Arabidopsis thaliana: one gene and its partner. The protein of the gene in region 1 purifies or fractionates together with the protein of each later gene. This does not show direct contact. Each region holds a gene or a part of one and is shown in the gene's direction. Other genes may lie near its edges.

Region 1 (8,058 bases):
TTGCAGGGAGCGGAGTTTACAACACCACCAAGGATACAAGAATCAGGATCTGACACTAAGTCAAGGGGATCCCATATTGATCCTCAACATGTATGTTGTTTCGTTAAATTACTCTTTTATGTGCTTCTCATCTTTAATATATCCCCTCTTTGGTTGAAGAGAGATTTGTTGGGTTTTTTGGAAAAGGAGGATGTCGATGCCCTTATCAACTCTGTCACAAAGAATGTTGGATTCAGCCAGGGGAAGCCTGTAGCGGCATTTACCATCTACAAATGTCTTCTTCATTGGAAATCCTTTGAAGCTGAAAGAACCAATGTCTTTGATCGCCTCGTTCAAATGATTGGTTCTGCTATAAAGGTACTAAAATGGGATGCTGTCTTGTCTACGTCAGTACAAATCTGGTTTTTATCAGATTTGAATGATTAGTGATTCTTATTTTTAGGATGAAGATAACGACGCAAATTTGGCATATTGGTTATCCAATACGTCAACATTATTATTCATGCTCCAACAAAGTCTGAAATCTGGTGGAACCGGGGCCACTCCACTTCGACAGTCACCTTCCTTAGTCCGATGGATGACCAAGGTATATATACTCTTCTCTCTTTTTTTTTTCTTTTTAATCTTGTATTGATGAGTTTCTGCTCCAAAAGCTAAACAATCCTTACCTTATATTTTAACAGGGTTTCCGTTCTCCAGCGGCTGAAGCTATTCGACCAGTTGATGCCAAGGATCCAGCTTTGCATTTCAAGCAGCAACTTGAAGCATATGTTGAAAAGATTTTAGGAATCATTTGGGATAACCTGAAAAAGGAGTTGAACACTGTCCTTGCTCTCTGCATCCAGGTGACATGATCCACAATGCTTCTCTACTTTCATCTTTCCTTTGTATGTATGTGTTGTAAGCTGACATGAGAGAATCTTTCTAGGCACCAAAAACATTTAAGGGGAATGCGCTAATATCTATAACCACTGCTAACTACTGGCAAGACATTATTGAAGGCCTCGATGCACTGCTAAGCACACTAAAAGAGAGCTTTGTATGTGAAACTCGTTTCCACTCACTGCTCTTATCTCTCTAAATGTCAGGAAATTCTTATGGCTTATTGTTGTTACAGGTTCCTCCGGTTCTTATCCAAAAGATATTCTCTCAGGCTTTCTCACTCATCAATGTCCAAGTATGTAACAGGTGAGAAATTGTTATTGTCTATCAATGGAATATTAAATATGCATCTCTATGATAAGCAGACTATTATCAACCTCTTCTTTCTGATCTGCAGCCTTGTCACGCGTCCAGATAACTGTTCATTTATCAATGGAGAATATCTAAAATCTGGTTTAGAAAAGTTAGAGAAATGGTGCTGCGAAACAAAAGAAGAGGTAATCCCAAGTACAGTTTCCTTTCTCTTCTTTCGTCATCGTCAATTGGGTTAATACATAACACAATATCTCTTCTGATAGTATGCTGGCTCATCCTGGGATGAACTCAAGCATACCAGACAAGCTGTTGGATTCTTGGTATGTTTTGAATTTAAGAAATGTTGTCTAAGCAAATTTACTTGAATCTTAGTAAGAGTTTGTATTTCTCACATATTTCCCCCTTGAATTTGCGTCTGCAACAGCTCATCCATAAGAAATACAACATCTCATACGACGAGATTGCAAATGATCTGTGTCCAGTAAGTCTCTCTATCAACCAACTCTTTTACCGATAACTGGAGAACTTTGACATTGTAATTATGCTTACACCATTTTACCTTCACTCAGAACCTTCAAATACAGCAGCATTTTAAACTGTGTACTCTGTACAAGGATGAAATCTACAACACAAAGAGTGTTTCCCAAGATGTAAGCTTTCTGAGGAAATAGTTCTCTTCTCTTGACATATATGAAGATCCTCTGCTCTAGTAGTTTAATGCTTGCTCATCGATCAATAGGTAATTGCAAGCATGACAGGAGTTATGACAGACAGCAGCGACTTCTTGTTAAAAGAGGATTCTAGGTAAGTGTAGCTTTGCATCATCTCTATCTTTTGCTTTTATGATCCAAAGTCATGATGACATTTATCTTTCTAGAAACTAACAAAACCGTTCCTTTTGGCCATGCACAGCAACATCATATCCTTGTCGATCGATGACTTATGTAGTTCAATGCAAGATAAGGACTTTGCCCAAGTGAAACCTGCTGAGGAACTTCTGGAAAATCCATCTTTCATATTCTTACATTAGTAAGTAATTCAGAGAAACCAAAACTGCCACCCTTCAAGAACACCATGCAAAAGCATGAAGAAGAATCTCAGAGAAAATTGCTGCGAAGAAATTTTTAGATTCGCCGATTTGTTTATTTGTTTATCATTGTAATTCTCTAATCATCCCAGAGATTTCATAAAGAGTATATGTTGTTTTGCTGGGAGTAAACAAAAAGAGACAAAGCTTGGCTAATGGATTGTTCTTGTTGGTGTTGTGCAGTCTTTCTTTCATTATTTTCGTGATTGAAATAAAAATTTATTTCTTTTTGTAATTTAGCTCTTTTTTTTGGTTGAGTCTGAGAAGTTGTCTCCACCCATTTATGGTTTGTACAAAGGAATCAAGTTAATAGAAAAAAATTGCATTATTGTATTATTGCATTTTCTCATTATTGCATTATTGTGTTAATTTAAATCTTGATTATTATTAAAACATGATTATGATTCATTTTTCCTTTTTTTGGCAGCATTTTTTCATTCTTCTGGTTTGGAAATTTTATAAGATGAGTGACCTAAAACTGGGCCTTAAATGGACTATAAATTTAGGCCCATTTATATTGAGGTGAGCCCAACAATAGTAAAAGCTAGTGTTTCGTATCAGTGTAGACAAATGGCTAATACCAGGCAAATGTTGTACCTTTGTCTCATCTCTTTCTCCTATCTCGATCGGTAATTTTACTCATTAGGGTCTCTCTGTTTCTGGGCAAATTTTCTTCATCTCCGCCGTTTTGCTTCAATACAGATTTCTGGGATTTTTTTTACCGATCAAATTTAGGTTTTCGTTTTCACTCAGAACCTTAGAAACCCTAATTTTGATACATTAGCTTTAGAGAACCTTCCATCGGATCCGTGTACAATAAAAAAGTTTGCGTTTTTTTTTTCCTTAAATCGATTGAACGTGTTTGAAGATGCCTCCAAAGCAACAACCAAAGGCTGATTTGGCGAAGAAGCAGAAACAAGTGGAAGACAAAACTTTCGGATTGAAAAACAAGAACAAGAGCAAGAATGTTCAGAAGTATGTTCAGAGTCTCAAGCAATCTGTTCAGCCTAAACCCGATGCAACTAAAGCTGCAGCTAAGGTACACGTCTCTTGAGATGAGTTTTGAGTTTTCTTCATGAATTTGAAGTTAGGAGGCTAGTGGAGTAGATTTTTTGAATATGTCTAATGAGTTAGTGTGAGAGATAAGTTCTTACCAAGAAAAATGGTTTTTTTGAGGACAGAAAAAGAAAGAGGAAGAGAAAGCGAGAGAACAGGAATTGAATGAGTTGTTCAAGGTAGCTATTAGTCAGCCCAAAGTTCCTGTAGGTATGTATGTTGAATGTTGATACTGTTTCTCTGGTTTGTTCACTTTGGTTTCGGTATTATTTATTGAATACGGTGTGTTGTTTTTGGTGATGTATCTTGGCAGGTGTGGATCCAAAGTCTATACTCTGTGAGTTTTTCAAGGCCGGGCAGTGTCAAAAGGGTTTCAAGTGCAAATTCTCTCATGATTTGAACATTCAAAGGAAGGGTGAGAAGATTGATATTTACAGTGATACGCGTGATGAAGGTATAAAAGTGTGGCACAAAGTGTCTTATATATCTATCCCTTTGGTCCTTTGGATGATGGTCATATTTTTGCCTTTTTTATATGGCTTTAGATGGAGATATGGATGAGTGGGATCAAGAGACCCTTGAAAAGGTTGTTGAATCAAAGAAAAATGAATATAATCAGAATAAGCCAACAGATATCGTAAGTTGTTTCTCTTATCTTGTGTTTCTCGGACTTTTTATTATATGCTTGTCGGGACATGCTTATCAGTTATTAGTAGCTTTTCTCTTGTTAATGCACTGTGAAAATGTCTGAACTGGTTTGTGTTCAAATATACAGCCTTTTAACGTGTATTATGTGAAGTGATGCATTAGTTTTGGTTGCACTTGCTGTGATTAACCTTTAGCTGATGTGCATTCGCCTTACGATGCGCTTCCTTTAGCTAATAGCACGGTTCATATTAAGAGCCATTAGGGTCTTAGATGTTATTATGCCTCCCGTTGTTCCCTTGTGTTTTTCTGCGCACTTGGTTCATGCCTGACAAGAACTCATGCTTTTGGTGATGTTAGTGCTAATCATAATTTTGAAATAAATGTTTCTTAACTATATACGTCTATGCTAAAAGAAATAATATCTCTGCGTCTCATCTCAATAATCATCTCATAAACTTATCCTAAACACATGAGTTATTTGTCTCGCTGAGTTTTATTGACTTGTAATTGTTTTTGTGTTTACTGAAAAATAATAGGTTTGCAAGTATTTTCTGGATGCTGTGGAAAAGAAACAGTATGGGTGGTTCTGGTCATGCCCCAATGGTGGCAAAGAGTGTCATTACAGACACGCGCTTCCTCCTGGATATGTCCTTAAATCTCAAATGAAAGCCCTCTTGGAAGAGGAGTCATCGAAGAAGCTGGCAGTTGAGGACGAAATCGAAAACGAGGTTTAAAATACTCCTCAAGTTTCCCTCATAGCTGCTAGGACCCGGTACTTGATTTGTGAGACCCATGTTTTCTTGTTCTATGTTTCAGCGTGCAAAACTGCAAACCGCAACACAAATGACTCCTGCACTATTTATGGAATGGAAGAGGAAGAAAATTGCTGAGAGAGATGCCGGTTTGGCTGCTTCTCAAGCGGAGAGAGCTAAGAACGACCGTATGAGGTAATCCCCATTCATCATTCTGTTACATATCCATCTCCAGTGTGACTCTATTTTTGTCCTTGGAAGCTGATTCATTGTGTGGATTTGTAACCTCAGTGGTCGGGAGCTGTTTCTGTCCAATGCAAGCTTGTTTGTGGATGATGCTGAGGCTTGTGAAGAATACGAGAGGGAAAGAGAGCAGGAAGAGACTGAACAAAAGGTGAGCTCTCTCTCTCTCTCTCTCTCTCTCTCTCTCTCTCTCTCTCTCTCACTCACTCATCATTTAAAACAACCAAGTCATGTTAATGGAATCTTGAGTTTTTTGCTTTTCAGGCAAAGAACAAAGAAGCAGAGGCAGGGACAAGCAAGAGTAGTGGTGATGCTGAACAGAGTTCGAAAGAAGTCAATGAAGAAGAAGAAGATGACGATGATGATGATGATGACCTAGACATGGATGAGCTGGATGAATTGGAAGCAAGCTTGTCGAAAACATCGATCCAGATTCGTGAGCCAAACGACGAAGGGTCATCTTGAAATGAAAAATGGTCTAAGAGGAAGAGGTGGAGGAGAGAAAGCACATGTTTTGTTTTTGTGTACTTTCAATAGATTGGATTTTGCAGACACAAACCCCATTTTGGGGTGTTGAATAATTTCTGTTACTGTTTTACAGTCTTAAATGGCCTCATCAAAGAACTAGTAGTATCTTTTTTGTCCAATCATTTTCATCTTTCTTTGTTGTTGTTAATTTTATCATGATGTGTAAATAAAAGGTCGTAAACTTACTAGAGAAAATAAAAACTACAGAAATGTATTAAAAACAAAGAATTTTAATCAATTCTTATGAATATTTAGTTGTTTTATTGATATTTATAAATAAAGAACAAAAAATATCGGCGATATAAAAAGAGGTAAATTAATCTGAGGGCAAAAATAAGAAAAGCATCCAATTTCGTCGGAAGAAGAAATCGCCATGGTAGCCGCAACAGTAAACCTCGCGAACATGACATGGACGTCGTTAAATTCAAATCCAGCAATCTCTTTCTCCATGTTAAGCGGAATCAGAAACTTGGGCATGTTACCTTTCAGGAGATGTCTAAAGCCGACAGTTATCGGAATCGCGTCGTGGCCACCACTCCGTTGTTCTTCTGTTAAGGCTATGTCTTCATCATCGTCTTCGTCTGGATCGACATTGGAGGAGACTGTTAAAACGACTGTGGCAGAGAACCCTGTCGTTGTTTACTCCAAAACCTGGTGCTCGTAGGTTCACTATACTTTTTGGTTCAATTAGAGGAATGGGTTTTGTTAATTTATGATCTAGTTTGTCAATATTGATACTTTTACTGGGTTTGTTCTTTTTGGTGGTGAAGATACTCGTCTCAAGTGAAGTCCTTGTTCAAGAGTCTTCAAGTTGAGCCACTGGTTGTTGAATTGGATCAACTTGGTATGCTCAATTCTTTACTTTGGTTTGCTATATGGGTCTGAGTAGTTTGCTATATTGGTTTTGATAATGTGTGTGATATTGTTTATATCGATCAAGGAAGAGCTGGTTACAAGTGCCCTAATGTTTCAGCATTTTGACTGGATGAAATTAATACTTGTTTCCAACTTCTTCTTGTTTATCTTCTGGTTCATTTGGCTGCTTGCTTGAATTGGTTTGTATGTTTTTTGATTAGATTTTGATGGAGGATTGATGATGGTTAGGGGGGTTTCTAATGGCCTAAGATAGCTTTACATTTCAGAGATTCTGTGTCTTGTTTATGTGAAAAATTTACTTCCACTGTAGTTTTCCTTGGACCAATGACTTGTTGATGAAGAATCAACGGGTAGGCTAGTACTTCTAATGGCTTAAATTTTTCAAATTGAAGATTCTTTCCTGCCTTTGAATCTTAGACAGTATGCTTCTATTTGTTAGAAACTATTATGTTGCTATCTTCTTAGTTATCTTTTCTCGTGTCAAGATTTGGTGACTTTCCAAAACCATTTGTTCTTTCTTGTCTTGTTTAGTTTCTTTGGGTAAAACATCTCTGCCTCATGATATTGGTCTGAAACATTTACAAAAGTTTTGGTGGTTTTTGGCGTTTCCAGGTTCAGAAGGGTCGCAGCTGCAGAATGTGTTGGAGAAAATTACTGGACAATACACTGTTCCCAATGTTTTCATCGGTTAGTTGTTTCATCATTTAAGCCAGTTACTAACTATACTCTGATCATTTTTCTTGATTATTTTGCCTGAAAACAAAACTATCGATAAAATCTTAGCCACTACATTTGCTATGACCATCACTTATCTAATTTTGATATCATGTTTTTGTTCATGACCAGGAGGCAAGCACATTGGTGGCTGCTCAGGTACAATCTCTCTTCCTTTCTTACCTCAACACCGAGATTTTTCTAATATGTAATTGAGATCGTCTTTGTGTATTTTGGCACCAAGATAGATAGTACTCAAGATCTTGCTCAATGTCTTGTGATTTTTCTGGTAACTTGACCTGCATATCATTATTGTTGAACAGATACATTGCAGCTGCACAATAAAGGAGAGCTGGAAGCAATTTTAGCTGAAGCCAATGGAAAAAACGGTCAGACCTAGAGATTTCTAGAGATGAAACTGGTTGGTGATTCTTCATGTTTCCTTATTGAAGTCGAGATGATTTGCTGTTTGAATTTACTGTCTATATAGAGATTTTCAATAAGAATCTTGTGTTTCTTTCTACGTACAAAAAACAGTCAATGAGTCATGCTGGGTTCTGTTACTAAACCGGAGTTGCTGAGTTTGATCCACACTACTTGGAATTTGCAATCATTTTTGGGTGGCTAAATGCATATTTGGAAATCGATCTTGAGATTGTAAAAGATAAAAGATGAATTGTTGGTTAACTTTTTGGTACATACGGTTTTGTTTAAGATTACAAACAGACGAACCGGTTTAGAGATAAACCATGTCTCTCATTTTACTTCTTCCACCTCGTCCAATGCGTAGTTGTTGGTCGATATATTCGCGTAATTCACCTTGGCGAACCGGACCACAACCGGATATCGGGTCTTCGGGTCCTGACAATTTAGACCGGAATATAAGATGAAACGATATCTAACCGTTAGATCGTTAACTTCAAAAGTAAATGCATTACCTGATCAACGGCCACAACT
Region 2 (7,226 bases), on another chromosome or scaffold:
ATAGCTATGTGACTAACAGCTTGATTGACATGTATGCGAAATGTGACTGTTTGACCGATGCCAGAAAAGTTTTTGATATTTTCGCTGCTGCTGATGTGGTTTTATTCAATGCAATGATTGAAGGTTACTCGAGACTTGGGACACAATGGGAACTACATGAAGCATTGAACATCTTTCGTGACATGAGGTTCAGATTGATTCGACCTAGCCTATTGACTTTTGTTAGCCTTCTACGTGCATCTGCTTCTTTAACAAGCTTGGGACTGAGTAAACAAATCCATGGATTGATGTTCAAATATGGGTTAAACTTAGATATATTTGCTGGAAGCGCTTTGATTGATGTTTACTCAAATTGCTACTGCCTCAAGGATTCCAGGCTTGTGTTTGATGAAATGAAAGTGAAAGATCTTGTTATCTGGAATTCTATGTTTGCAGGTTATGTTCAACAATCAGAGAACGAAGAAGCTCTCAACCTGTTTCTGGAATTACAGTTATCAAGAGAAAGACCTGACGAATTCACGTTTGCCAACATGGTTACAGCAGCTGGCAACCTAGCAAGTGTTCAATTGGGTCAAGAGTTCCATTGCCAGCTTCTGAAAAGAGGCTTGGAATGTAATCCGTATATTACAAATGCTCTACTAGATATGTACGCCAAATGTGGTAGTCCCGAAGACGCTCATAAGGCTTTTGATTCAGCAGCTTCAAGAGATGTAGTTTGTTGGAATTCTGTCATCTCATCTTATGCGAATCATGGAGAAGGCAAAAAGGCTCTTCAGATGCTTGAAAAAATGATGAGTGAGGGAATAGAGCCTAACTACATCACCTTTGTTGGAGTTCTATCAGCGTGTAGCCATGCTGGTCTTGTAGAAGATGGACTTAAGCAATTTGAGTTAATGCTTCGATTTGGAATTGAACCTGAAACTGAGCACTATGTTTGTATGGTATCTCTTTTAGGCCGTGCTGGTAGATTGAACAAAGCAAGGGAGTTAATTGAGAAAATGCCGACAAAACCAGCTGCTATAGTATGGAGGAGCTTGCTGAGTGGATGCGCAAAGGCCGGTAACGTCGAGTTAGCTGAACATGCTGCTGAAATGGCTATTTTGTCTGATCCCAAGGACAGTGGATCGTTTACTATGCTTTCTAATATTTACGCGTCCAAGGGTATGTGGACTGAAGCTAAGAAGGTGAGAGAAAGAATGAAGGTTGAAGGTGTGGTGAAAGAACCTGGACGTAGTTGGATTGGGATTAATAAGGAGGTTCATATATTTTTGTCTAAGGATAAATCTCACTGCAAGGCTAATCAAATTTATGAAGTGTTAGACGACTTACTTGTGCAGATCAGAGGAGTTAGTTAATAACTACCATACAAGAACTCATTTTCTATTGGAGTGATGGACTCTATTTGGTTAAAGACCAATGCAGCAGATGAAGCTTAAAAGCGAGCCAAAGAAGAAAGAATAAGCCATGGTTAATATCGAGAAGCTGAAGGGGTAGCTAGCTCAGGAGAGCAAAGATGTTGCTATTAAGTTTTGTAATCAAGGGAAAATCGATTCTGTTCCGTTCAAATCCGAAGGAAGACTCAAAAATTAACCCCGGTTCAGTTCTCAGTTTCTTCTCATCATCTCCTAAAACCGGGTTGAGAGAGAAGTTGTAATGGTGAATGCATGAATGGTATGTTGTACATGATTCATTTGAATTTAGTTAAACCGTTTTTGAAATCAACTAAAACCGAAAAACACCAATTCAAAACAAAACAAAACAAAAATTCAGAACAGGGTTTATTGTATATAACCAAACTAAATTCTCATTCTGTTGTAAATTTTATTAAACCGGAAAACCAAATCGGACATATATGGGCCTAAAATGTTGTTGGGTCAGGCCGAATTCTAGACAGTTCTGTTCTAGTTTTTTCTCCTTTGTCGTAATCAGGTGGACGAAACGAAAACCCTCGGGATTCCTCTGCTTCTGTCTCGTCCGTCGTCGTCAATTTCTCTGCATCAGAGATTCCGGTGTCCTTCTTCCTTTCACTCGCGTATAACCTCTTTTCCTTGACGTTGTCTCCGTGAGCTCTCTGTGCTTTGACTGCAACCATGTCGACTATTATGCAGAAGATCAAAGAAATTGAAGATGAGGTAATTATTCAATCCTCTCTGATTCTTCACCTCTTCTCTTCAATTTTGGATGCATAGAACTGTGAATCCGAAATATCTATTCTGAATCAAAGAAATGATTTTTCAATCTGGGTGACTCACAAGTACGAGGTTTTTTTTGTTTATGTGGCAGATGGCTAAAACACAGAAGAATAAAGCTACTTCTCATCATCTGGGTTTGTTAAAGGTACATTTTTTCTCCTCTTTAGGTCGTTTTTTGTAGCTTTGAGAGTGAGGTTGATTGGTTGAGGTGTTTTTGCTTATCAAATGCAAATTTGGTTGATTGGTTTATATCTGTTTTGATACTTGATAAAAGCTATCATGAAATCCCAACCAGTAAGCAAGCTCATTAAGAAATATTTTAACTTCTGGTTGAAATCGTTTATGTTTTATACGAACTCCCAAATCATTGAATAAGCACAAAGCTGAGATATTTTATTTACGGCATGATCTCTTGTGAAGTTCCTTGGATCAAACAACTACTAGGCAGGCATTATATATTATTCTGTATTGATTTTAGAATTTGGTACTTATTCCTGCACCATTAGCTTCTCGTCATATTTCACTGGTCCATTTTGCAGGCCAAGCTTGCTAAGCTTCGGAGGGACCTTCTTGCACCGCCTACCAAAGGTGGCGGTGGTGGTGCTGGAGAAGGTTTTGATGTGACTAAAAGTGGAGATTCTAGAGTTGGACTGGTCGGATTTCCTTCGGTTGGAAAATCTACGCTATTAAACAAGCTGACTGGGACATTTTCCGAGGTTTGTAGTTATCGTTACGAATATTGAACTTCCTTTCTCTTGTTGTAATTGGAATTTTGAAACCTACCACGTATCCATGGCATCCTATTTCTAGTTACTTTTTGACCAACTTCCTGTGCAATATCACTTATAAGGCAAGACTGTTCGGCGCTAGTCTTTTCCTGGATAGATGAACATAAATCTTGGAATTAGAACTGTATTTTGGCTGATACTCAATTTTCTGAAGGTACATACTGTGATACACAATGTTTTCTCAGGTTGCTTCTTATGAGTTCACGACTTTGACATGCATTCCTGGTGTTATCACATATCGTGGAGCTAAAATCCAGGTATGGTATCTACATCTATGCGTCTGTGTTAATCTGTTATTTGTGGGGGAAAAATGATAATTCTTGGATAGTGTTTCCTCTGTCTTGGTAATTGTTGAAACACAATGAAATCCTTGGCTACATATGCCATGTCCTAGCTTGTAATTATCTTTTCTCGAGTCTTACTTCTATATTAAACATGTATCTTGCTTGATCTTTTAATGACTTCTTGGTACTTAGTTTAAGTCAGGAAACGACCTGTAATTATTCATTGGACACTGATGCTAATACTCTTTTTTATGTCCCCTTCTATGTGTTTGCAGTTATTAGATCTTCCTGGTATTATTGAGGGTGCTAAAGATGGAAAAGGTAGAGGAAGACAGGTAAGTCGAGTCTAAATCTCTTGAGTATTTTATATTTTGACCCTCTTTGATCATCTTTCACACTTTACTATTTCCAGGTTATAAGTACGGCTAGGACATGCAACTGCATCTTAATAGTTCTTGATGCCATAAAACCAATTACTCACAAGCGTCTCATTGAAAAAGAGCTCGAAGGATTCGGAATAAGGTATAGATTGTTTATATAACAACCTTTATACACTGTATATTTGATCGTTTCTGGTAGATAGTCTGACTCGATCATGGACTGTTGCTATGTAGGTTGAACAAGGAGCCACCAAATTTAACATTTAGGAAAAAAGACAAAGGTGGTATCAATCTAACTTCTACAGTCGCTGTCACACACCTTGACCTTGACACCGTCAAGGCGATTTGCGGTGAGTACAGGATGCACAATGCTGACATCACCCTGCGCTACGATGCAACCGCTGATGACCTCATTGATGTCATCGAGGGCAGTCGGATTTATATGCCCTGTATCTATGCTGTCAACAAGATCGATTCAATCACACTTGAGGAACTTGAAATTTTGGACAAACTTCCTCATTACTGTCCTGTCAGGTAAATGTTGTTAAATTACCGGCAGGATTTGCGATAAACTTGTTTACTTTTGCCATTAAGATATAAATTTATTTATCTTGCAGTGCGCATCTGGAGTGGAATCTTGATGGACTTCTGGACAAGATATGGGAATACTTGGATCTAACTCGAATCTACACAAAACCAAAGGCAATGAATCCGGATTATGATGATCCCGTAATCTTATCATCCAAGAAGAGAACAGTAGAGGACTTCTGCATCCGGATTCACAAAGACATGCTTAAACAATTCAAGTAGTAAGTAATTAAAATCCTTAACATTTTTCTTTTCTCTGTTATATGGTTCTTGCTCAAAAGCATCGCTCATGAATACTTAACTAATGATCTCCTGATACAGCGCTCTGGTTTGGGGTTCAAGTGCCAAACACAAGCCACAAAGAGTTGGAAAGGTTAGTTCTTCTAGCAAATCAAACAAAAGTTAATCTGGTAAATCGATATTGCAATATCCCTGACTAACTAACTATTGCTGTCTCGACATCGTATTTTATACTTCAGGAACACGAGCTTGAGGACGAGGATGTTGTTCAGATCGTTAAAAAGATATGATTTTTGCAGATAATGGAGAGCAGTCAAGAGACCAACCAAAGTAGCCATAATGAGATCTCCTATAGGAAGGTCAGGATTTCTTTTGGTTTCTCAGCTTTATCTTTCTTTTGTAATTGTATTATTATATCCAGACGAAATCTGTGTCTACACCCTTTTTTATGTCTTATTAGATACTTTTGTCTTCTTCCAATAATACTATTAAGCATGTGATTGATGTTGTCGGAACACCTCCTATTATCTCCAGTATGGGTTTGCCTAGATTTTCTCCTCCCTTGTTTTTATGTATGCAACTAGACTTTTTTGGATTTTATTTACTAAACATATGATTCAGTTTTTCTTCATGTAATAAAGAAAAACTGTTAAAACGGCCTTCATTGCACTGACCAGGTCGAGGTGTTATTATTTCTGACAGTTAGTTGTTACTTGGACTGTTGATTAAATTTAATGACATTAATAGATTTGGAAAACTATTACAACGACCTTCGTTGCAGTGTCTGGGACCGTGAATTCTGATGCACTTCTCGATTTGTCTATCCTCTTAAAGTTGGTTTGTCATTTAGTGTCTGAAATTGTAAGATTATGGACCCTTCTTTACAAGTCCTCCACCAATTCTGTCTCATCCATTTGTGTGGTTAGTAGCTTCACCAGCTTAACACTTTCACTAATCTTAATTCTTAAGATATGAAAAGCAGTTGAATGAATGCATTGGTAATTTCTTTCTTTTTTAATAAATTTTCTTTTTGTTGGTTGCTAATTTATATATGTAATAATCTTACTCTATATAAACAAGTTCCTTCAACACACAAAAGGAACCACCACCATATTGTGTCTGTAAACCAAGCTCCTAACTCTCTCATATGGCTTCTGTAAGCTTACTTGACGTTGCCATAGCCATCATTTGCCTTTTCTTCTTCTATTACATGTACTTCAAGAAACCTCATGGTCAGGTTTTTCGAAACTGGCCAGTTATTGGGATGCTTCCAGGCTTCCTGATGGTTCTCCACCGCATCTACAACTTCGGCGTGGAGGCTCTTGAAATGAGCCACTTAACCTTTCTATTTAAGGGACCGTGGTTCGCTGAAATGGATATGTTGTTCACAGTTGATCCAGCTAATATTCACTACATATTGAGCTCAAACTTCTCCAACTATACCAAAGGTGCCGACTTTAAAGAAGTCTTTGATGTTTTTGGAGAAATGATCTTTAGTTCGGACTCGGAGCTATGGAAGAATCAAAGAAAAGCTGCTCAATTCATGCTTAATCATCAAGGCTTTCAAAAGCTATCATTGAGTGCAACGAGGAGTAAGCTTTACGATGGTCTTGTTCCTCTTTTCAATCAATGTTGTGAGGAAGAGAAGGTCGTGGATTTGCAGCAAGTGTTTCAAAGATTCACTTTTGATACAACTTTCTTTATTGTTACCGGGTTTGATCCTAAATCTCTCTCTATTGAAATGCCGGAAGTGGAGTATGCTAAAGCTCTTGACGATCTTGGAGAAGGGATTTTTTATAGGCACATTAAACCGAAGTTCTTCTGGAAGCTGCAAAACCGGTTTGGGTTAGGGCAAGAGAAGAGGATGACTGAAGCTGATGCCACTTTTGATCGCGTTTCTGCGAAATACATATTAGCTAAGAGAGAAGAGATAAGGTCACAGGGGATTGATCATCATGCAAATGGTGAAAGTGAGGATCTTTTGACATCTCACATAAAGCTTGATACAACCAAGTACGAGCTCTTGAACCCGAGTGATGATAAGTTCCTCAGAGACACCATCTTAGCTTTCAATCTTGCTGGGAGAGACACAACGTCTTCTGCTCTCTCTTGGTTTTTTTGGCTTCTCTCTGAAAACCCTCAAGTTGTAACAAAGATTCGTAAAGAGATCATCGACAAAAATATTTCAAAAGACGGAAGAAATGGCCAAGAGAACTTAGACAAGTTGGTCTACTTACATGCGGCGTTGTATGAATCAATGAGGCTCTATCCACCGGTTGCCTTCCAACGCAAGTCTCCTATAAAGCCAGATGTGCTGCCAAGTGGGCATAAGGTAGAAGCAAACTCAGTCATCATAATTTTTCTTTTCGCGTTGGGAAGGATGAGAGCGGTTTGGGGAGAAGATGCAACAGAGTTCAAGCCAGAGAGATGGGTTTCTGAGTCCGGTGGGTTGAGACATGCACCTTCCTTCAAGTTTTTATCATTTAACGCCGGTCCGAGAACTTGTCCTGGTAAGCAATTAGCTATGACTCTAATGAAGACCGTAGTTGTGGAGATATTACAAAACTATGATATTGATGTTATCAAAGGACAGAAGATTGAGCCAGAACCTGGTCTTATGTTGCACATGAAGCATGGGCTTAGAGTCACAATTACTAAGAGATGTTCAGCTTGAAATTTGTATGTATAATGCTTAAATTAATCCTTTTTCCGTTGAAATAAAATCTATCGGAGATAGATGCTATAACAAAGGAT

The links. Proteins that work in one complex are often made in the same cells at the same time.
Region 2: the proteins of AT2G20280 (region 1) and AT4G39520 fractionate together in Arabidopsis thaliana (co-fractionation; one large-scale study listed by BioGRID). This does not show direct contact.

What each region holds. Positions count from the first base shown.
Region 1 is NC_003071.7:8,737,444-8,745,501, reverse strand, and holds AT2G20280 (Zinc finger C-x8-C-x5-C-x3-H type family protein), read left to right. Parts: upstream 1-2,851; 5' UTR 2,852-3,152; coding exon 3,153-3,323; intron 3,324-3,465; coding exon 3,466-3,550; intron 3,551-3,653; coding exon 3,654-3,794; intron 3,795-3,885; coding exon 3,886-3,977; intron 3,978-4,524; coding exon 4,525-4,716; intron 4,717-4,804; coding exon 4,805-4,935; intron 4,936-5,031; coding exon 5,032-5,134; intron 5,135-5,247; coding exon 5,248-5,448; 3' UTR 5,449-5,762; downstream 5,763-8,058. Other genes in the region: myosin-like protein XIG, read left to right, coding at 7-90, 187-357, 443-586, 684-845, 929-1,039, 1,118-1,188, 1,280-1,379, 1,461-1,517 and 4 more; AT2G20270 (Thioredoxin superfamily protein), read left to right, coding at 5,885-6,171, 6,282-6,355, 6,919-7,074, 7,234-7,260, 7,425-7,501; PSAE-2 (photosystem I subunit E-2), read right to left, coding at 7,858-7,962, 8,040-8,058.
Region 2 is NC_003075.7:18,368,865-18,376,090, reverse strand, and holds AT4G39520 (GTP-binding protein-like protein), read left to right. Parts: upstream 1-1,851; 5' UTR 1,852-2,090; coding exon 2,091-2,132; intron 2,133-2,283; coding exon 2,284-2,337; intron 2,338-2,731; coding exon 2,732-2,908; intron 2,909-3,165; coding exon 3,166-3,237; intron 3,238-3,539; coding exon 3,540-3,599; intron 3,600-3,676; coding exon 3,677-3,786; intron 3,787-3,878; coding exon 3,879-4,178; intron 4,179-4,261; coding exon 4,262-4,453; intron 4,454-4,553; coding exon 4,554-4,605; intron 4,606-4,711; coding exon 4,712-4,762; 3' UTR 4,763-5,226; downstream 5,227-7,226. Other genes in the region: AT4G39530 (Tetratricopeptide repeat (TPR)-like superfamily protein), read left to right, coding at 1-1,355; CYP96A12 (cytochrome P450, family 96, subfamily A, polypeptide 12), read left to right, coding at 5,620-7,146. UniProt on the Arabidopsis thaliana protein: Binds GDP and GTP, and has low GTPase activity in vitro.